Linked DNA regions of Oryctolagus cuniculus. The protein of the gene in region 1 interacts with the protein of each later gene in a pairwise test. Links are inferred from orthologs where the notes say so. Each region holds a gene or a part of one and is shown in the gene's direction. Other genes may lie near its edges.

Region 1 (4,904 bases):
GAAGGGAGGAGGCTGTCGGCCACTGGCCGCGCGTGTGCTCCAGGTGCTGCCTGAGACTCCTGTGCGACTCAGTCCTCAGCCTGGGGGTGCTGTCAGTGGTTCTCGACTTTACTTGTACATTGGAATCACCTGGGGACCTTCACAAGTACTGACGCGGCCTGAGTCATTGCTAGACATGCTGACTGAATAGGTCTGGGGTGTGAACTGACGTAGGGACTTCTAGCATTTTTATGCAAGTAGTTATGAGCTTTGAGAAAACAAATGTGAAGTAGTTGCTTTAAGAAAACATATCACCAAAAACAGCTTACCCTTTGCTTTAGAAAACGGTAGTACAAAGTAAAGGAGCTTAATCTCCCTCTTCCCTGCCGCCATCCATTCATTCCTAGAAGAGTGGTTCTTCAGATGTCATTTCTGGACACAGGCTTCAACATCGCCTGAACATTTGTTACAGATGCAAATTCTTAGGCTCCTCCCTAGACCTACTGACTCCCAAAGGGAGGGGAGAGCCCCGCAGTGTTCAACAAGCTCTCCACCTGATCCTGGTGTGAACTTCATCTTGAGAACTCGTAGAGGATCAGAAGAGAATTGTTTGAGGGGGGGTCAAACGCTCACCTTTATCACCAGGATGCATGGATACTGTGCTCTTTATCATTAGGCAAGTCGCCTTGTTTGGAGTTCTGTTTTTTGAGAAAGAATGGTCTAGCAGCCTGGCTCCTCCATTCATGTGTTTTGTGGTTTCAGGCATCCCTTCACCTTTCTGAGCCTGTTCTCTGTCAAACAGAGATGTGATCCACAGGGATTTTGTAGGATAAAATGAGGCCAGGTGTGGTTCAGCACGCCTCCAAACAATGGCAGGAACTTTGGACAGGGCCCAGCAGCACCACACGGTGCTGGCATCCAAGCCTACTGAATCAGCATCTGCATTTTAAAGGTCCCCAGATGACTGATGTAAACATTACAGTTGAAGATGCACTTAAACCAAAAGCAACCGAAATGGGAATAAGCTAGGCTGCTGTGAGTCTAAGAGATACAGACACTCCCTACTCACTGCCTCATTCGGATCCACAAAACCAAAGACTGGGCAGGGAAAGGAGGGTTTGAACTAAGCACCATCTGGACAAGTTTGCTTGGCTTCATCGTTTACACTGGAGGCAAACGGAGCTTTCACACACCAACAGGCCGCCTACTCCACAGGCACTACCGGTCATCATTCTCAACTCCGGCTACAAAAATCAAATCCCTTCTGGAGCCGGTACCAGTCCCCGAGTCCTCAGCCCAGACGTGGTCATGGTGCATGAAAACGGGGAACGTAGGCACATGAGAAACTGACTACAGAGTGAGCGGAGGTTAGCATCCAGCCTCCCTCTACCTCCAGCTCCAGATGGAAGCGCCCCGAAGGCCTTAGGGCACCTCCAATCGCAGCTCATCCGCTCCGCTGAGCCGGCCCAGGCCCCGCCCTCCCCGCCGACTGAGGCCCGGCCCCCGCGTTTCCGGGCGGCTGTGACTATTTGGTTGTCGCCAATAACAACCCAGCATTGCTCCCGCTCGCTGGCTAGCGCCTGAGAGCGACAGTCAACTACACCAATGGAACCTTGAGAGAAGTCTAAGGGACAGCCCAAGTGACCAATCGCCATGAAGTACCTGTGGGGAGGGCGGGATTTTGAGTACGGAAGCTGTCCCGGGACATGAGGAAAGGAAAGAGGAAAACACCGGTGAAGGGGTAAAGCAGGCAGGTGAGAGCCGAGAAGAACTCAGTTTGAAAATTGGTGGGCAAAGAGGGGATTCCGGGCTAGAAAGGGTGCAGACGGCTGCAGGAAAAGGCTGCTGGATTCTGGTAGGGGGTGGAAGGGGAGAACGCATTTAAAGGAGCCGAGGCTCAGGTTGAGGCAGACGTTTAAAGGGGCCGACCCCCTGAACAGAAGAGACATTTAAAGGTGCAGATGCCCAAGATAGAGCAGACACTTGAGGAGACGGGCTCGGCTGACCCGAGACGTTTAAAGTGGTAGGTCATTTTAAGTAGGACAGTTTAAGCAGACTGGAGCCAAGTTTAGAGGACCTTTAAGAGTATGGGTAGGGGCTTGCGAACACGTTTGTTAGACGGGAATGAGGGAGTCGCTTGTCAGGGGTCTGGTTAGAGTAGACTGAGGGGCTTCCTCTAGGGAAGAACACGCTCTCCTGCTCTCTTCCCATTGTCCTTTCTGGTTCCTCCAGGTTCCCTCGACCCAGGACCCTGTTCCCAGGCTATGGCCCCCAGTGCCCTGTAGACCTGGCGGGCCTCCAGTGCTTGCGGCCCCTATTTGGGGGTCTGGGTGCCTACTGGAGGGCCCTGCAGAGGGGCAGAGAAGGCAGAACCATGGCATCTAGGGCTTCTGACCTTCCCCCGGGGCGCAGCGTGACGGCAGGCATCATCATTGTTGGAGATGAGATCCTCAAGGTTTGTCTGGGCTGGGACGTGGCGGGGGGTGGGGGTGGGGGTTGTCCTCAAGGGCCTGCTGCAGATCCCGTTGAGGGAGGCGAATCTGGGTGGGAGATTCTGTGCCGCAGCAGGATTCTGGACTGAGTCCAGCATACTGGAGGAACGGTGATCCTCATCCATTCAAAATTACTCTGTTGAAAAACTTGTAACAAAGCCCCTGCAATTTGCCCAGCATTATGATAGAAGGCAGAGGGGCCACCCAGCAGTGACAGCAAGCCCAAGTAAGCAACAGAGGTGCAGGTGCATGGGCTGTGTTTTTTTTTTTTTAAAGACTTTATTTATTTATTTGAGAGGTAGAGTTACAGACAGTGAGAGGGAGAGACAGAGAGAAAGATCTTCCTTCTGTTGGTTCGCTCCCCAAATGGCTGCAACAGCCGGAGCTGCGCTGATCCGAAGCCAGGAGCCAGGTGCTTCTTCCTGGTCTCCCATGCGGGTGCAGGGCCCAAGGACTTGGGCCATCCTCCACTGCCTTCCCGGGCCACAGCAGAGAGTTGGATTGGAAGAGAAGCAGCCAGGACTAGAACTGGCGCCCATATGGGATGCTGGCGCCACAGGTGGAGGATTAACCTGCTGCGCCATGGCATCGGCCCCAAGGCTGTATTTCTTTTTAAAGATTTGTTTGAAAAGCAGAGCAACAGAGAAATCTGCCATCCACTGACTAATACCCCAAATGGCTGTAACGGCTGGGGTTGGTCCTGGTTGAAGCCAGGAGCCTGGAACTCCATGGGTCTAGGAGACAAGAATGGCAGGGACCAAGCACTCGGCCATCTCCTGCTGCCTTCCCAGGCACATTAGCAGGGAGCGGGATCGGAAGCAGGGCAGCCAGGACTTGAACTATCGCTCCAATAGGGGATGCTGATGTTGCAGGCAGTGGCCTAACCCCCTGCGCCACAGCGCTTGTCCCAGTGTTCTGTATTCTTACAAGTTATATCCAGGCTATTTGAAAATTGTTCACAGCACTCAGCAGAGTGGATAAATAAGCTAGAAGGAAGGTGCTGGAATGGTCAGGAAGTCTTACTACAGGACACAGTAGGCGTTAGATTCTATGTTATAAGAGTAATATCAGTGCCTATCTTTTCAGAGCTTACCAGGGGCTGGCAGGGTGCTTATTACGTCACAAGCCTGGTTTTCCTAATTCTCACAATAACTCCATGCAATTGCTACTATTATTATGAATCTCAATTAGTGGGTTATTAAGCTGAGGCTCAGAGATGTTGAGAAGCTGGTCCAGTTACAGCCCTAGGAAGTGGAGGACATGGGATGCTGGCCTGATTTTCCCTTACTCTGAAACACAGTTTTTTTTGTTTTTTTTTTTTTTGTTTGTTTGTTTTGATTTGTTTATGGGGCTGGTGCTGAGGTGTAGCAGATAAAGCTGCCACCTGCAGTGCCAGCATCCCATATAGACTCCCGTTCAAGTACTGACTGCTCTTTTTCTGATCCAGCTCCACTATCGTCTGGGAAAGCAGTAGAAGATGGCCAAGTCCGTGGGCCCCTGCACTCACATGGGAGATCCAGATGAAGCTCCTGGCCCTGGCTTTGGATTGGCCTAGCTGCAGCCATTGCCACCAGCTGGAGAGTGAACTAGCAGATAAAAGACCTTTCTCTCTCTCTCTCTCTGCCACTGCCTCTCAAATAAATAAATATATCTTTTTTTTTCTTTCTTTTTTTTTTTTTTTTTTTTTAATATGAGAGGTAGAGTTACAGAAAGGGAGAGGGAGAGACAGAGAGAAAGGTCTTCCATCTGCTGGTTCACTCCCCAAATGGCCATAATGGCTGATCCAAAGCCAGGAGCATCTCCCGGGCCTCCCACATGGATGCAGAAGCCCAAGCACAAGGGCCATCTTCCTCTGCTTTCCCAGGCCATTAGCGGGGAGCTGGATTGGAAGCAGAGCAGCCGGAACTCAAACTGGCGCCCATACAGGATGCCGGCGCCTCAGGCAGCACCTCCTGTGCCACAGCACTGGCCCCTGGATCACAAGTTCTTAACCAGTCAATCCTCTGTGGGGAAGTAGAAGCAGATGGGGCTGGAAAAGAAGAGGGTGCGCGGCCTACACAGCCCCGGCTGCCTGCAGAGGAACGTGAACTTTCTCCTGTGCACAGCTGGAACCACAAATGGCTGCCGAGCCCCAAGCGCTGCAAGGACAGTGACACCTTAGGGAGGCTACTCAGCAGACACGGAGCAGAGCCCGTGCCCGGCCAGCAGGCTCTTGCCAGTGTCCGGGTGGAAGCTCCTGAGACCTGCCTGGTGGCAGCGAGGACAGGCCGGGAGACGTTTCCGAGGAGAGTTGGCAGGACGAAGGGCCTCAGCGGCCGTGGACAACAGCCGGGGGTACAGCGAGGCTGCGCCACGAGGGCTCGGAGCGAGGGCGCTGACACTGTCATGGGTCCCCCGAAGAACAGAGCACCCGTCATTAGGCAGGTGCAGCTG
Region 2 (4,242 bases), on another chromosome or scaffold:
GAGCAAAAATTTCTAATTAGGGCTACCATTACTTTACTTCTCATCTTAACATACTGTAGAAATGAAATAGGCTTATTCCTGAGGAAACCTTTAGAATTGTGAAAGATGTGCTGTATCTTTACCCCGATTTAAGGTTTTAGCTCTTATCTATTAAATTCTCTATTTTGTTTTTTGTTATTTATTTGATAGGCAAGAGATAGAGAGAGGGACACATACACACAGAGGTAGAGAGCTTCCATTTGCTGGTTTACCTCCCCAGCAGTGGCTGGGACTAGGTCAGACCGAAGCCAGGAGTGTGAAATTCTGAGTCTCCCTTGTGCATGCAAATATTTAGGACATATTTTGCTGCTCTCCCAGGCGCATTAGCTGGGAGCTGGACCAAAAGTGGAGCAGACGGAACGTGAACTGACACTCCCATAAGAGATGCCAGAGTCACAGGTGGTGCTTTAGCCCACCACAGTGCTGACCCCCATTGTAGGTATCTTGGCAGTGGATTTGTGCTCCAGCCAGTGCACACTGGCCCACGTCATGGAATGCCACCTAGTTCTTTCTTACTACCCCAAGGTTAACCAATGAGAAGAATGTGTGATGGCCATTAGCAGTGAGCCAGATTGGAAGTGGGACAGTCAGGACATGAACCGGCATCCATATGGGGTGCAGGCACCACCAGCATTAATTTTACCTGTTATGCCACGGTGCCAGCCCCCATAATGGATTCTTCACAAAGGCTCATGTGGAGGTTAATATGTTTATCATTTTGGGCTGTTAAACTCTGTAATCTTTCTTGATTCTGTATAACTTAGCAAATGAGTAAAGGAATCGATTCCTTCAGCTCAAAAGGTAGAAGTATGACCTTAAACCATCATTTTTTTAAGCTGTAAAAGAATTCACCTGACTTCCAACACTTAATTCACTTCCCACCTTCCATGGGAAACATCTGGCCCATGAGCCACATAAGGCCTGCAGTCCTTTGGTCTGGTACCCTTGCAATTATGATAATGTGCTTATACCTATTTGGCATTGTTGGACTCAGACACTTGATTTAGTTATCCTACTTTATTTCCTTAGTCTTTTTATTTCAAGGTGGTGGAGGGGTGACTGAAGTTGACCTAGTGCATCATGATTTGAGTTTCATTTTTTTTGATTATTCTCTGGGGGCTTTGCCTTGATAAATTCTTCAGTTTGTTTTTAAGGGAGTGAGAGCACATTATATTCCTATTGTTTTTTCTCTTTAGTTTTGGTTATTAGATTTCAACTACAAACAGCTGTTTCCTAATTTTCCAATGTGTTAAAACCATTATTACAGCAGTGGTAAATGACCAAAGTTATTTCCTTATTATCTAGGGTATATTTGTTCAGCTAGTCCAGGCAAATTCTCCAGCCTCATTGGTTGGTTTGAGATTTGGCGACCAGGTACTCCAGATCAATGGTGAAAACTGTGCAGGCTGGAGCTCCGATAAAGCTCACAAGGTGCTCAAACAGGCTTTTGGAGAGAAGATTACAATGACCATTCGTGACAGGTAAGCTGCTGCTAAAAACAGTTCAAATGGAAATTTTCTTTGGCTTTAGGATTCTGTGAATACAGTGTGTTGTTCCAGAAAACTATCAAATGTTACTGATGAGCCTTACAGTCTTGCAGATGGTACAGGTGGTTCTTACGTAGTTTTATTTTTTTTTAAATAGCATTTTGATTTTACAAAAACACCTTACTTCTGAGCTTATAAGAATTTGACCTCTCAGTAGGTATTCTCCATTCTCTTTAGAAAACAAAAGGTGTTGGAAAAGTAGTTACGTAGCATGACATCTCTGGTCTCACTTACCCAAAGTCCTCTGCTAAAGCATACAGTCTAGGGCCTTTACATACAGTGTTAGGATTCCTTGTGAGGGTCAGAGCCTGTGTAGAACTAAGTGGGTTCAGAGTCCTGAAAATGAGATCTGGCCTTATGGGTGGAAGGTGCTATTTTGTAGTTATTTATAATTTTTAATTTAAAAAATTTTTTTCAATTGAAAGGCAGAGCAACAAATAGTGGAGCAGACAGTACATGAACCAGGTGCCCATATGGGATGCTGGCATCACAGGCAGCGGCTTAACCCGCTAGGCCACAACGCTGGCCCCAAAAGAAGTCTTGAGTAATGAGTCAAACCATAATGAAGAGATCTAAAACAAACAAAAAACCACCTTTTAAAACAATAAAAGTAGTCTGTGAATGTATGCTCTCACTTATAGTAAGTTGCTCTTACTAGAAACATTTTGCCTTTATTGTAACAAGTACCCAGTATGGCAGAGCTTATTGCATATGAAATCTATTAAAATGTTTATCCTGAATTTAAATTTTTAATTGAACTCATGTTTATAGGCCTTTTGAGCGGACAATTACTATGCATAAGGACAGTACTGGACATGTTGGCTTTATCTTTAAAAATGGGAAAATAACATCCATAGTGAAAGACAGTTCTGCAGCCAGAAACGGTCTCCTCACGGAACATAACATCTGTGAGATCAACGGCCAGAATGTCATTGGATTGAAGGTACGTGACAGACCTTGTGCCTCACGGTCATTTTGCAAGTGTCTTTTTCTTTGACATGTTTTCGTACTTCCAGAATAGAGAAACTAAGTGGACAAGGGGAGACATGAGACAGATTTGGGGCTCTGGCATAAGCTAGCTGAGCTCTTTGGCTGTTACCAGGTTCTCTCTGCTGTTACCTAGATTTATCATTCCTGTATGAGGAGGGGTATCAGAAATCTGAAAACAGAGCTACCACATGACGGCCGTCCCACTCCTGGGAATTTATCCAGATGAAATGAAATCAGCATATGAATTATCTGCACCTCCATGTTTATTGCATCTCAGTTCACAATAGCTAAGATAGGGAATCAACCCAGATGTCCATCAACCCATGACTACAGAAAGAAAATGTGGTATATATATGCACTATGGAATATTACTGAGCCATAAAGAAGAATGAAATCTTTTTTTTTAAGATTTTATTTATTTGAAAGAGTTACAGAGAGGAGTTAGAGACAGAGATAGAGGTCTTCCATCCACGGGTTAACTCCCCAGATGGCCGCAACGGCTGGAGCTGTGCCAATCCGAAGTCAGGAGCCAGGAGCTTCCTCCAGGTCTCCCATGTGGGTACAGGGCCCCAAGGACTTGGGTCATCTTGTACTACTTTCCCAGGCCATAGCAGAGAGCTGGATCGGAAGAGGAGCAGCCGGGACTAGAACCGGCGCCCACATGGGATGCCTATGCTGCAGGCCAAGGCTTTAACCCACTGTACCACAGTGCCGGCCCCGAAGAACAAAATCTTTATCAACAAAATGGATGCAACTGGAAAGCATTATACTTCGTGAAATAAGCCAGTCCCAGACAGACAGTGTTTCCCCAATCTGTTACAATAGATTACAAAAAATGTATATGACCAAAATTGACATTTTGAGATTTGATTATTTATAGCCCTTGTTTCTACTGTTGAGGAAAAGTGATTTTTTTCTTCTTACTATTAAATTCTTTAAGTACTGGAGGGTTAAGTTTATGATTATAAAATAAAGTATGTCATTGTAAAAATTTTAAAAAAGGAAGAAGGGTGGGAAGTATGACTGTGCTCCTAAATGTGTATATATGAAATACATGAAATTTGTTCACCTTATATAAATTATTTTTAAAAAGGAGTGGTAGACAAAAATGTTTTGTGAAGTCCCTGGAGTGAACTTTGGTGAAGGACATGAGCAGTGATTTTCATGACTTTCTGAATGAATATTTCCCCAGCTGTTTTTCAGTACAGGAATATAGGAAATGAGTAAAAGCTTTGGATCACGTTCATACCTTTTAGTTTTTTCTCCTCCTAAAATCCCTAAATATGAGGGCACTTCAAAATTTTTGTGGGAAAATGGAATTAAAAGTTTTTAAGTCCCTACAGATTGAATAATACACTTGCATGAACATTTTGAATTCCCTTAAGTCTGTCTTAAGGTCAAAATGTTAATTAAGACCTGCCTATGTCATAAAGTTTGGCTGAGTGTACATGGTTAACAGAAAAGATAATTTTCCCCATATACAGTACCACAATATTACCTGAAATAATGAAAATGTGACTTTTTTCTAATATATTCAACTCAGTTTTGTTACTATCTATAAAACTGCTTTCTATAGAATAAAACTTGGTAAGGAAAACTAGAAAAATAACAAATATCTTAGTGTTTTAGACATGCTAGCCTAACATAACAAGAGGTATGGTGTATA
Region 3 (3,008 bases), on another chromosome or scaffold:
AAGCAGCTGCCCTTTGAACTTGGCCTGAGGTCACTGGGTGACTTTCCTCTCCAGCCAGCTGCATGGTGGAGCTAGGGGCTGTGCTCAGGGTGGGAGGGGCCGTGGGGTAGGTGTGGCAGGTGTGGCTTCAGCAGAGCTGTCCCCCCCAGAGCCTGTGAATCTGGTCCTGTCCCCAGGAAAAGCTGGAGTCAGGCCAGAGCAGGGCGCCCTCGCGAGCAGACTCCCCCTCACTTTTCCGGAGTGGGAGGTGTGCAGCCTGGGTGGACCAGCCATCTTTCATGTCCATTGCCCACAAAACGGGTTTCTTGGAGGCAGGCAGGGCTGTGAAGGGTCCAGACTTTGGCTCACCTGGTGTGCCTGGCAGGATGTGGCTCAGCCGGGGGAGAGACCGCCACCCCGCCCCACCTTCCCCCGAGGCCACCCACCTGATGCCATCCTTGGGAAAGGCCCCCAGCCTACGGCACCTGTCAGCTGCCGTCTGGAGGGGGAGAGGCAGGGAGGAGGCCCAGCCAGAGCTGCAGGCACAGAGGCGTCCTAACACCACGGTCTTCTCAGCGCCTTGGCCAGGTGCTGCCCAAGCATGTCCCCCACCTCTGAGACTGTTGCTGTCACCGGCCTCTTCCTAGAGAGGAGGAAAGGGGAGCGCAGAGACGCTAAGCCACTGGTCGGGGTCGCCCCGCGGAGCCTGCCCTCCAACCCAGCCCCTGTCACACCTGCTGCTGCTCGGCCTGCCTGGAGGGACTCCTGCCCCCACCCTGGCACTCTCTCAGCTTCCATAGACCAGGAAACGGAGGCCCAGAGACATGCAACGTCTACGTGGGAAGCCGTGGGGCTGGGATGACAGCCTGCGTGTTTTTACTCCAAAGCCCGGGGTTCACTTTTCCAGGCAGGAATGATGGGGGAGGTTGTGTTGGGAGGCTGGAGGAGCCCCTGCCTACGCCTCCCTCTGGGAACCGACTTCCTGGCCAGGACTATCACTGGGAAACTACTGGACTCTGGCAATTCACACCCCTGAGGGCCACCTCAGGGGAGGACAAATTGATTTTAGCTGATAACGCTGATGGCAAACAGGACCCTGCTCCCGGCCAGGCCATTGCAGTGAGGTCATGCTGTGGACATAAGCTCGCCCCGTGCTGCCCATGCCCCCATTGACGTCAGGGTGCCTGGCTGGCTGAGTTCTGCCCCCACCTGGGGTCTGTTGGGGGGTGGGGGTGGATGCCCCGCCCCAGCCAGGGTGCGGTAGAAAGTCCTTGTTGGGAACCGGGAAGCGTCCTCACCAAGGCCACCCTTCCACTGTCCCAGCCCTAGGCAGCATGTCGCAGCCGTCGGACGAGGCGCCACAGCCCCCGCACAGGAGCAAGGCTTGCCGCCGCCTCTTCGGGCCCGTGGACAGCGAGCAGCTGCGCCGAGACTGCGACGCACTCATGGCCGACTGCCTGCAGGAGGCCCGCGAACGCTGGAACTTCGACTTTGTCACTGAGACGCCGCTGGAGGGCAACTTCGCCTGGGAGCGCGTGCGGGGCCTGGGTCTGCCCAAGCTCTACCTGGCCCCGGGGCCCCGGGGTGGCAGGGAGGACCCGGCAGGGTGCAAGCGGCCGAGCACCTCAGCCGCCCTGCTGCCAGCGGCTCAGGAGGACCACGTGGACCTGTCGCTGACCTGCACCCTGGTACCTCGCTCCCCGGAACGGCCCGAGGAGTCCCCAGGCGGGCCTGGTACCTCTCAGGGCCGGAAACGGCGGCGGCAGACCAGCCTGACAGGTGAGGTCGGGTGTGGGGAGGGATGCTAGGGGGGACTGGGGCCCTCGGAACCCCCCCATGCGGGACCTGTCCTGTTTGCTTCAGCTTGTCCCCGAGAAGGGAAGCCGCCTAGGTGAGGCTGCACACAGGGCTGTAGCCAGCGTTTGTCCAGGGCGTATTTATTACCCGGCAGTCCTTGCTGAGCGACTGAAGACAATCTTGCTCCCCTTCCAAGGAGACGAGGCTCCGAGAGGGAGAGATTGGCCTGAGGTCGCGCAGGGCGTGTGCTGGGGAGAGGACACTGGCCGTAGCGCCATTCTGGCCTCTGCAAACTTTATTCCCTCCCCTCATCACACACGCGTCCCTCCCTCCCCCCACCTATCCGCCGTGTCCTCGTCGGCATTTTTCTACCCTGGATCCACTGTTCCTTCTGACCTTGACACGGGCCGTCTCTCCCACTAGCATATCAGCCCCACAAAAAAGGGATCTGGGCGTCTCTTGTTCATTGTGGAGTCCCCAGCCTGGAGAGCAGTGTCTGGTGGAGCAGGTGCTCCATGAAAGGTGAATGAGTGATGCTGGCATTTGGTCACCTATTACGCCGGGCCCTGGACCAAAGCCTTTAGAGAGACCATTGATTTCCTCCTTAGAGTGCACTCCCACGGAGAAGCCTCATTTGCAATTTATTACTTATTCATTCAAGAGACACAAAGAAAGCTTCCTTCTGCTGGTTCCCTCTCCAAATGTCCTCAGTAGCCTGGGTTGGGGCTGCAGGCAGGAGCTGGGAATTCAATCCAGGTCTCCCACATGGAACGCAGGAAACCGATTTCTTGGGCCATCAGCGGCTGCCCGGAATTCCAGAGTCGGCATTAGCAGGAAACTGGAGTCGGGAGTGAGAGCCGGAATAGAAGCCAGGCACCCTGGTGTGGGAGGCAGGCATCCTCCTTGCTGGGCTGGAGGCGCACTCCCACGCCTCGTTTTGTAGGTGAGGCAGCTGAGGCTGAGGGGTGCAGACGAGCGTCCTGTGGGCCATTTTCAGTTGGGTCTGAACTGATGGTGATGACAATGATGACTCCTGTGGACCTGGGCCAGGACACTTTCTGTGGACTGGTGGACTGCCTCCCACAGCGCTGACCAGCAGAGTTCTATGCAGGGGCGGGCCTGTCCAGTGCAGGGGTCCCTGCGTCCCAGGAACCAGATCTTTGCTTGTGCTGGATTTGAGTCCCCGGAAATAGCCACGTAGAAGTAGCGGCTCCTGCTCAGGGCAGTGTGGC
Region 4 (4,242 bases), on another chromosome or scaffold:
CCAAAGCAGAGAGCTAGATTAGAAGTGGAGCAGCCGGGTCTCAAACTGGCATCCATATGGGATGCCGGCGCTTCAGGCCAAGGCATTAACCCGCTGTACCACAGCGCCAGCCCCATCTCTAGCATACATTTCTAGAAGTAGAGTTCTTGGAAATGCTAGATCAAAAGGTAGATATATTTATCATTGTAAAGCTGCTCTACAAAGTATTTCATCCCTGTACATGTACTCATTGTGTGTACCTTCACCTGTTTCGCGTTTAAAAAGATAATGGGACATAGGGCTATAAAGACAGAACCATGAATGCCAGGGAAAATTAATAAAATCATGTTGGCCAGATAATAAAAAGCATGAAAATCATATTGTCTTAGGGATATGGTCATGATTTAAGATGAATCTGGCTTCAGTATGTAGGATGCATTAGAAGAATCAGGATTTAGCAGCAAGGAGTACTTATCATTTCCTAGAAATAACATCATAAAGCTCTAAACCAAGTTAGGTGAAGCAGTTAGAAAAGAAAGGGACAGATGTGGATGATTAATGTGTTTAGTATCTTTTATTTGTATGCTGAAACATTCTTTAAATAGTTTTCCTCAAGTCCTCCCCTTCAAAAAGAAATATTTTACCAAGGTAGAAACTCGTATTTTAAAAATTGTTTCTTTGTAGGTGCTCCAAATACTGCAGAATTAAGGATTTGTCGTGTAAACAAGAACTGCGGAAGTGTAAGAGGAGGAGATGAAATATTTCTACTTTGTGACAAAGTTCAAAAAGGTACTTCATTTTTGTATTTTGGTTCATTAAATTCAGAATGTTTTTAGATTAATAGATGGATTTTATTTTGTTTTCCCTTTGTTATTTCTTTGGTTTCTTATTTACTAGATGACATAGAAGTTCGTTTTGTATTGAATGATTGGGAAGCAAAAGGCATCTTTTCACAAGCTGATGTACACCGTCAAGTAGCCATTGTTTTCAAAACTCCACCATATTGCAAAGCTATCACAGAACCAGTAACGGTAAAAATGCAGCTTCGGAGACCTTCTGACCAGGAAGTTAGTGAATCTATGGATTTTAGATATCTGCCAGATGAAAAAGGTATGACATTTTGGTGGCCCATAATCCTTGGGCCCCTGCACCCACGTGGGAGACCTGGAAGAAGCTCCTGGCTCCTGGCTTTTGGATGGGCCTGGCTCCGGCCATTGCAGCCATTTGGGGAGTATGCCAGCGGATGGAAGACCTTTCTTTCTGCCTCTCCCTCTCTCTGTCTATAACTCTGCCTCTCAAAACAATCTTTAAAACATTTCTTAATTTATTTGAATGAAAGAAAGCTCCCAACTGCTGGTTCACTCTTCAGATGCTCAGAATGGTTGGGGCAGGGCTGGGGTCTAGGCCGAACCAGGAACTCAATCTGGGTCTCCCACATGGGAAGGGACCCAATTATGTGAGCCCCCATTTCTGCCTCCCAGTGTCTGTATTAACAACTAGGAGTCAGGAGCTAGAGCCAGGAAACCGATCAAACCCAGGCACTCCAACGTGGGATGCGAGCATCTTTAACTGCTAGGCTAAACACCTGCCCCCTTTCCATGAACTCTTTGAAACCTCGTGTTATTAATGTATGTTTCTTTTCCTGAAAGTTTTCATTTTTTTTCTATTCCTCTATTTTTAAAAATACTCATTTTATTTGAAAGGCAGAGAGAAAGATCTTCCATCTGCTATTTCACTCTTCAAATGCCTGCAACAACCAGGGCTCAACCAGGCTAATGCCAGAGGCCTGGAGCTCAGTTCTGGTCTCCCACATGGATGGTCCTGAACCCAACTACTTGGGCCATCACCTGCTACCTCCTATGGTGTACATTAGCAGGAACCTGGATTGGAAGTGGAATAGCCAGGACTCAAACCAAACACTCTGATAAGGGATACAGACATCCCAAGCAGCAACTTAACACTTTGCCAAACACCTGCTCTGATTTTTTTTTTCCTTTACATGCTTTACATCTGTTTCTTAGGTTTGATTAATCTGGAATTGTTTGAGTATTTGAGCTGTTTATCAAATTTTCTGTTTTATTTTTGAGGCTCTATTTTTTTCTCTTGTGCATCCTTTTAAAAGAGGGGAAACTTGCCACTCAGACTGGTCTTTGTTTTGGCTCTTTTATCAGAACATTTTTTATTAGTTGATGTTGTTAACTTATAGGTATTAGAAGCAAACAAGATAAATATTTGAAACATTTTTACACGATAAAATATTCTTTCCCACTGGTTTGGGACATTCTTTACACTTTTATACTTACTAAGTCCATACTATGTACATTTATTTAAAGCATTTTCATATTCTTGTTGAAATAAAACGCCTGTTTGTTTATTAATGGAGAGGAAACATAATCATGGTGATTCACCTGCTTTCTTCATTTCTTTTTTAATCAGATACTTACGGCAATAAATCAAAGAAACAAAAAACTACTTTACTTTTCCACAAACTGTGGCAGGATTGCGGTAAGTGTATTTTGTATTGATTCATATTTATGTAGGTTATATATTTTGCTTTTCATTTTTTTCAAATTTTAACTGATAATGTTATTTTTCAAATTATACTTAATAATGGGAAAACTTTATCATAACAGTTAATTTTCCTGAGAGATCAAGACCAGGTTTCCGAGGACCAGGAGAAGGAAGATTCATCAAAAAAGGTATTTTATCCCCAACAGTATATTGCTTGTCATCAGACTAATATTTTATATAAGAATTCCATTTTTAGGAATGAGTAACTGCTTCTTTGTTAAACACTCCTGTAAACTTTTTTAGGCTTTCATTATTGAATGAATTGAGCTCAGTACCTGAAAGTTGCCCTGAAAACAGATTATGTTTTGCAGATTTACTGTCTAAGAAATTGTATTTTATTTATTTGGTGGTATTATTAATTGTAGTGTATCATGGAAGAAATGGTTTAAATCTGGCTGGTCATCTTTTTTATTTTTTATTTTTTTTAAAGATTTTATTTATTATTTGGGAGGTAGAGTTACAGAGAGAGAGAGGGAGAGAGAAAGGTCTTCCATCTGCTGGTTCACTCCCCAGTTGGCTGCAATGGCTGGAGCTGAGCTGGTCCAAAGCCAAGAGCCAGGAGCTTCTTCCAGGATTCCAAAGCAGGTGCCAGGGCCCAAGCAGTTAGTCCATCTTCCACTGCTTTCCATAGCAGAGAGCTGGATCAGAAGAAGAGCAGCTGGAACTAGAACCAGTGCCCATATGGGATGCTAGCCTTGCAGGAGGATGCTTAGGCCACTCACCACAGCATCAGCCCCGATTTTTTTTTTTTTAAGCCAGTGTCATCCATCACCCTTTGTTTGTTTGATATTTACTAATTTATTCATTCATTCATTGAGTTATTTGAAGGAGCCAGAAGCTTCTTCCGGGTCTTCCATGTGGGTGCAGGGGCCCAGGGACTTAAGCCATCTTCTGCTGCTTTCCAAGGCACATTAGCAGGGAGCTGGATCTGAAGTGGAGCAGCTGGGACACCAGCATCCATTTGGGATGCTGGTACTGCAGGTGGTGGCTTTACCCAGTATACAACAGTGCTGGCCCTGTCATCTATTTTTAAAAATTTTGATTGGAACACAGCCACAGTCATTTCATTATATATTGTTTCCAACTAGTCTCTTTTTTACAGTACAGCAACAGAGTTGGAATAATCCTAATAGAGGGTGTATATAGTCCACAAAACTTAAAATACTATGTGGTCCCTTACAGAAAAAAATTTGCCAAGCCCTGGTTTAGAAAATACAACCAAAAATTAATTGGTAGTCTTTTTCCCCCATTACATTATTTTTTTTAAAATTAGCTCACCTATTTTTACTTACTTCAAAAGACAGAGATCTCCTATCCACTTATTTACTCCCCAAATGCCTTCAACAGCTTTGGCTGGGCCAAATCGAAGCCATAATCTAAGCATTTAATCTGGGTTTTCTCAGTGAGTGGTAGGGACCCAACTACTTGAGCAATTATCTGCTACCTCCCAGGGTGCACATTAGCAGAAAACTGAATCAGGGGCCAGCGCTGTGGTGCAGCAGGTTAATGCCCTGGCCTGTTTGAGACCTGGCTGCTCCACTTCCCATCCAGCTCTCTGCTATGAGAGCACATTAGCAGAGAGCTAGATCAGAAGTAGAGCAGCCAGGTCTTACCAGTGCCCATATGGGATGCAGGCACTGCAGGCCAGGGCATTAATCTGCTGCACCACAGTGCTGGCCCCTCAAATGGAGT
Region 5 (4,242 bases), on another chromosome or scaffold:
GATTACAGAGGTGGAGGGAGCGAGGTCAGCGCACCAGACGGAGCAGTGAAGGAAACCCGGATAGCTCCATAGCTCAGAAGGGCCCTGTCCTGTTGTGAGAAAGCACCTGCTGCAGAGGGGATGGTGTGGGGAGTTGTGCTGGAAGGAGCGTGGTCTGCATTAGGAAAGGCCTGGACAACTCAGGGCTGGACAGTCGGGCGCAGGTGTGCAGAGACCTTGAAGAAAGCCAGTTGAGAATATAGCTGGGGTGTGGCTTGCCCTGAGCGTGTGGCCCTTCCGTTGCTCTCTGTGTTCCGTGACCACCCGGCTTCCTTTTCTGCCCTCCTGCTGCCTGTTCTAAGCCTAACCTCACGCCTGGAGTGCCGGGGCAGCGGCTGCCCCCGGTCCGTGCTACAAACAGGTCCGTTTTCTAGGCTAGGCCAGCGCTTCCCCAGTAGCCCTGGCTCAAGTGCCCACATGAACACGCCTTTCAATACCTTCGCTTTAATTACTGGGCCATTCCAGTCTCATTAAGTTATTTTTTTTAAATCAAGTTATTTATTTGAATGGCAGAGAGACAGAGCTCCCATGTGCTGGTTCACTCCCCAGTGCCTACTACAGCTGGGCCTGGGCCAGGCTGAAGCCGGCATCTAGGCGCTCAATCCAGGTCTCCCACAAGCATGGCCGGGGCCCAGCTACTCGAGTCCTCGGCTGCAGCCTCCAAGTGTGCGTTAGCAGAAAGCTGGAATGGAATGCTGGCATCGCAGGTGGCTGCTTAACCCACTGCCACAGTGCTGGCCCTGATAATGCACTTTTGTTTAAAAAAATATTTATTTAATTGAAAGGCAGAGAGAGAGAAAAAAGTCTTCATCCACTGGTTCACTCCCCAGATGGCCGCAACAGCCAGACCTGCGCCGATCCTAAGCCAGGAACCAAGAGCTTCTTCTGGGTCTTCCCACACTGATGCAGGGGCCCAAGGACTTGGGCCATCGTCTACTGCTTTCCCAGGCCACAGCAGAGAGCTGGATCAGAAGTGGAGCATCTGGGACTCGAACCGGTGCCCATATAGGGTGCTGGCACTGCAGATAGGAGCTCTACCCACTATACCACAGCGCTGCCCCAATGATGCACTTTTAATTGATAATCTTTTTCAGGCAGATGAGTTACTTAGAGCCAGCAGAAATGTAATAGCCTATATAAAAATGCATATATTAATGTAACATGATGATCTGCTACATAGTATATAGTTACTCTTTATGGTGGTATATTTGTGACAATTTTATATATAAATCCCATGTTTACTTATATAAATAGTCCTGGCAGGTTTGCCATGAGACTCTGAGTTTATATTCTTAACTACACTGTCAAGACTCAGGAGTGAAGTGCTGTCTTTCCTTCAATGCCAAGTCCTGTATTAGGTCATTGTAAGTATCTGTTGTCATAAACAAATATCAGGCTGTAGCAGACAAGCAGCCTGGCCCCAGGGAGCCCTTCCTTGGGGGAGAGAGAGGGTCTAATTCCCTGTGTTCAGTTGTCTGTGTTCCAAATGATATCCTTTCCGTTGTTTGATTCGAGATGAATTCCCAGTGCAGAACACCCTCACTGAAATGATTCGCTTCTTGCAGATTAAGGACGATTGGCCTGGCTACGACTTGAACTTGTTCACGTACCCGCAGCACTATTCCGGCGACCTGGAGTATGTGCTCATACCGCATGGCATCATCGTGGACAGGTGAGTGAGTGAGCTGGGCTGGCCCGCCCACGTGCGTGAATCGTGTGAGACGCCCGAGTCCCTTTTCACGGTGGCAGAGAGAAGTGGTGTCGGACAGCAAATTGGGGACGGACTGAGTCTGGGCGTGTGCCGAGTGGTTTACCTGCGTGTGTGTTCAGGCGGGATGTTCAAAGGCTATGTGTGTGTGTGTGTCGCTGTTCTGTCACAGTCTGGAGACTACAGGGTCCCCTACAGATGATCATGCCAGGAAAGCGTGGGTTTGTGTCCCAGTTAACCAGGGAGGAACAGGAGGAAATCTTCACTTCCTAGGGTACCCCCTGAACCCCTGGATTTTTCTGCAATGCTGATCTCTCTTGCGCCAAACCATGCATCCCAGGTGGGCTGGTGTGCGGAGAGCGGCGTTTTCTAACCACTGGTGGGAATAGTAGTATTTGCAGCTTAAAATATATACTGAGAACGAGTTCTAGAACAGAATCTTTTTTTTTTCCTGATGTGTCTACATCCCTACCCTCTGGCTTCTTCCTTGCTGATGGCCTGTCCTGAAACCAACATTTTCTCTCCTGTGCTGTGTCACCCCCACTTAGCTCCTCCTGTTCAGTCCTACCACACCAATGATTAATAGGTCAGATCCTTAACAAGCCTGCATCAGCACCAAGAACTTGAGTTGCTTTCTGTGGGCCTCAGATTTCTGGTGCGAAGGTCAAGTACAGAGTCCTGCAGGTTTCTTTATTTCTGAAAGATTTATATAGAGAGGGAGAGATGGAGAAAGAGGTGTTCTGTCCACTGGTTCACTCACCAAATGGCCATAAGAGCCTGAGCTGAGCCAGGCCAAAGCCAGGAGCCCAGAGCTTCATCTGGGTCTCCCACATGGGTGCAGGGGCCCAAGCACTTGGGCCATCTTCTACTGCTTTCCCAGGAGCATTAGCAGGGAGCTGAATTGAAAGTGGAGCAGACGGGACTCGAACCAGCGCCTGTGCTAGCACTGCAGGTGGCAGCTTAACCTGGGAGGCCACGTGCTGGCCGTGACCTGCACATGTCAGTGGTGAACAAGCATCCTGCTTTTCAGGGGAAACTCTCTGGAACCCTGCGGATTCTTCGGGGGACCAGAATTTGGGGTGAAGTCAGCAATAGGGAGAAGTTTGACTTCTCACTGCAACCCTTTGCTTACACCATAGTATCTCTGCTTTTATATATTTTTGATCTGTTAAAAAAATAAAAAAGCTTTCTGAATTCAGCTCTAACTTTAATAAATAGCTCCTCAAAGCCAAAGAAAAGTTAAAAAGCATTCAACGGTCATGGTTCCTAGGATAGGAGGGAGCTTCAGAAAGTTCATGGAAGAGTGGAAGTTGAAAGATTAAATTTATTTTGGTGCAAAAGAATTTTGAATTTCTTGCATAGTTTTTTGTTTACTTGTTGTACTCGAGAGGCAGAAAGACAAAAGGAGAGACAGAGAGGTCTTCCATTCACTGGTTCACTCCCCAAATGGCTGCAGCAGCCAGGGCTGGGCCAGACCGAAGCCAGAGGCCTGGGACTCCATCTGTGTGTGGCAGGGGCCCAAGTGCTTGAGCTCCAGCTGTGCTTCCCGGGGTGCACTTGGCAGGAAGCTGGAATCGGGAGTAGAGCCTGGACTTGAACTCGGGCACTGTGATACATGGGATATGGACATCACGAGTGGGGTCCTAACCACTACACCCAGCGGCCGCCCTGCATAGTTTGTCCGTGTACTTGTGTGTGTGTGTGTGTGTGTGTGTGTGTTTGACAGGCAGAGTGGACAGTGAGAGAGACAGAGAGAAAGGTCTTCCTTCGTCGTTGGTTCACCCTCCAATGGCCGCCGCGCTGATCTGATGGCAGGAGCCAGGTACTTCTCCTGGTCTCCCATGGGGTGCAGGGCCCAAGCACTTGGGCCATCCTCCACTGCACTCCCTGGCCACAGCAGAGAGCTGGCCTGGAAGAGGGGCAACCGGGACAGAATCCGGCACCCCGACCGGGACTAGAACCTGGTGTGCCGGTGCCGCAAGGCGGAGGATTAGCCTAGTGAGCCGCGGCGCTGGCCCGTGTACTTGTGTTAATACCATCCTATCAGTCTGTCGGGAAGCCAAGAGGAATTTCATTCCCCCAAATTCTGAGATTTGCCATTGGATGGAACTTCCACAGGCGTGATGTTTCCTCTCCTGACTTACAGTATAATACACGATAAGCTGTGGTTTGGGGTTTTTCTTGGCCTAGGGTGGTTTCCCATAGATTGCTAAAGCAGGTCTGATCCTCAGAGGGAGAAAAGGTCCCTGACCAAATAAACCTGAGAAACTGTACATTTCCCAAGCTGCCAACTCTCCCCATTGTCAAAACACATGTGAGTGTATCAGAGATACAGAAATTTTGGCAAAAATACGAAACAGAGACACCTGCTTATCTTTGACAATTAAACCAACTTTTTTTTTTTTAAAAAAGTTATTTATTTGAAAGGGAGGGAGGGAGGGACAGGGAGAGAGGTCTTCCATCCGCTGGTCCACTCTCCAAATGGCTCAACAACT

The links.
Region 2: the proteins of FLAD1 (region 1) and SDCBP interact in binary tests that used the Homo sapiens proteins (3 or more experiments, as listed by UniProt). The two-hybrid records come from large-scale screens. The link is inferred for Oryctolagus cuniculus from reciprocal best matches to the Homo sapiens genes FLAD1 and SDCBP.
Region 3: the proteins of FLAD1 (region 1) and CDKN1A interact in a two-hybrid assay, tested with the Homo sapiens proteins (2 studies listed by BioGRID and IntAct). The link is inferred for Oryctolagus cuniculus from reciprocal best matches to the Homo sapiens genes FLAD1 and CDKN1A.
Region 4: the proteins of FLAD1 (region 1) and REL interact in binary tests that used the Homo sapiens proteins (3 or more experiments, as listed by UniProt). The two-hybrid records come from large-scale screens. The link is inferred for Oryctolagus cuniculus from reciprocal best matches to the Homo sapiens genes FLAD1 and REL.
Region 5: the proteins of FLAD1 (region 1) and PRTFDC1 interact in binary tests that used the Homo sapiens proteins (3 or more experiments, as listed by UniProt). The two-hybrid records come from large-scale screens. The link is inferred for Oryctolagus cuniculus from reciprocal best matches to the Homo sapiens genes FLAD1 and PRTFDC1.

Annotation. Positions count from the first base shown.
Region 1 is NC_091438.1:43,528,398-43,533,301, reverse strand, and holds the start of FLAD1 (FAD synthase), read left to right. Parts: upstream 1-1,899; 5' UTR 1,900-1,940; coding exon 1,941-2,002; intron 2,003-2,211; coding exon 2,212-2,434; intron 2,435-4,904. UniProt on the Homo sapiens protein: Catalyzes the adenylation of flavin mononucleotide (FMN) to form flavin adenine dinucleotide (FAD) coenzyme.
Region 2 is NC_091437.1:83,781,191-83,785,432, forward strand, and holds part of SDCBP (syntenin-1), read left to right. Parts: intron 1-1,344; coding exon 1,345-1,520; intron 1,521-2,357; coding exon 2,358-2,529; intron 2,530-4,242. UniProt on the Homo sapiens protein: Multifunctional adapter protein involved in diverse array of functions including trafficking of transmembrane proteins, neuro and immunomodulation, exosome biogenesis, and tumorigenesis.
Region 3 is NC_091436.1:132,894,286-132,897,293, reverse strand, and holds part of CDKN1A (cyclin-dependent kinase inhibitor 1), read left to right. Parts: intron 1-1,302; 5' UTR 1,303-1,313; coding exon 1,314-1,758; intron 1,759-3,008. UniProt on the Homo sapiens protein: Plays an important role in controlling cell cycle progression and DNA damage-induced G2 arrest. Involved in p53/TP53 mediated inhibition of cellular proliferation in response to DNA damage.
Region 4 is NC_091433.1:141,782,510-141,786,751, reverse strand, and holds part of REL (proto-oncogene c-Rel), read left to right. Parts: intron 1-663; coding exon 664-768; intron 769-876; coding exon 877-1,089; intron 1,090-2,415; coding exon 2,416-2,484; intron 2,485-2,612; coding exon 2,613-2,678; intron 2,679-4,242. UniProt on the Homo sapiens protein: Proto-oncogene that may play a role in differentiation and lymphopoiesis.
Region 5 is NC_091444.1:104,725,528-104,729,769, forward strand, and holds part of PRTFDC1 (phosphoribosyltransferase domain-containing protein 1), read left to right. Parts: intron 1-1,604; coding exon 1,605-1,711; intron 1,712-4,242. UniProt on the Homo sapiens protein: Has low, barely detectable phosphoribosyltransferase activity (in vitro). Binds GMP, IMP and alpha-D-5-phosphoribosyl 1-pyrophosphate (PRPP). Is not expected to contribute to purine metabolism or GMP salvage.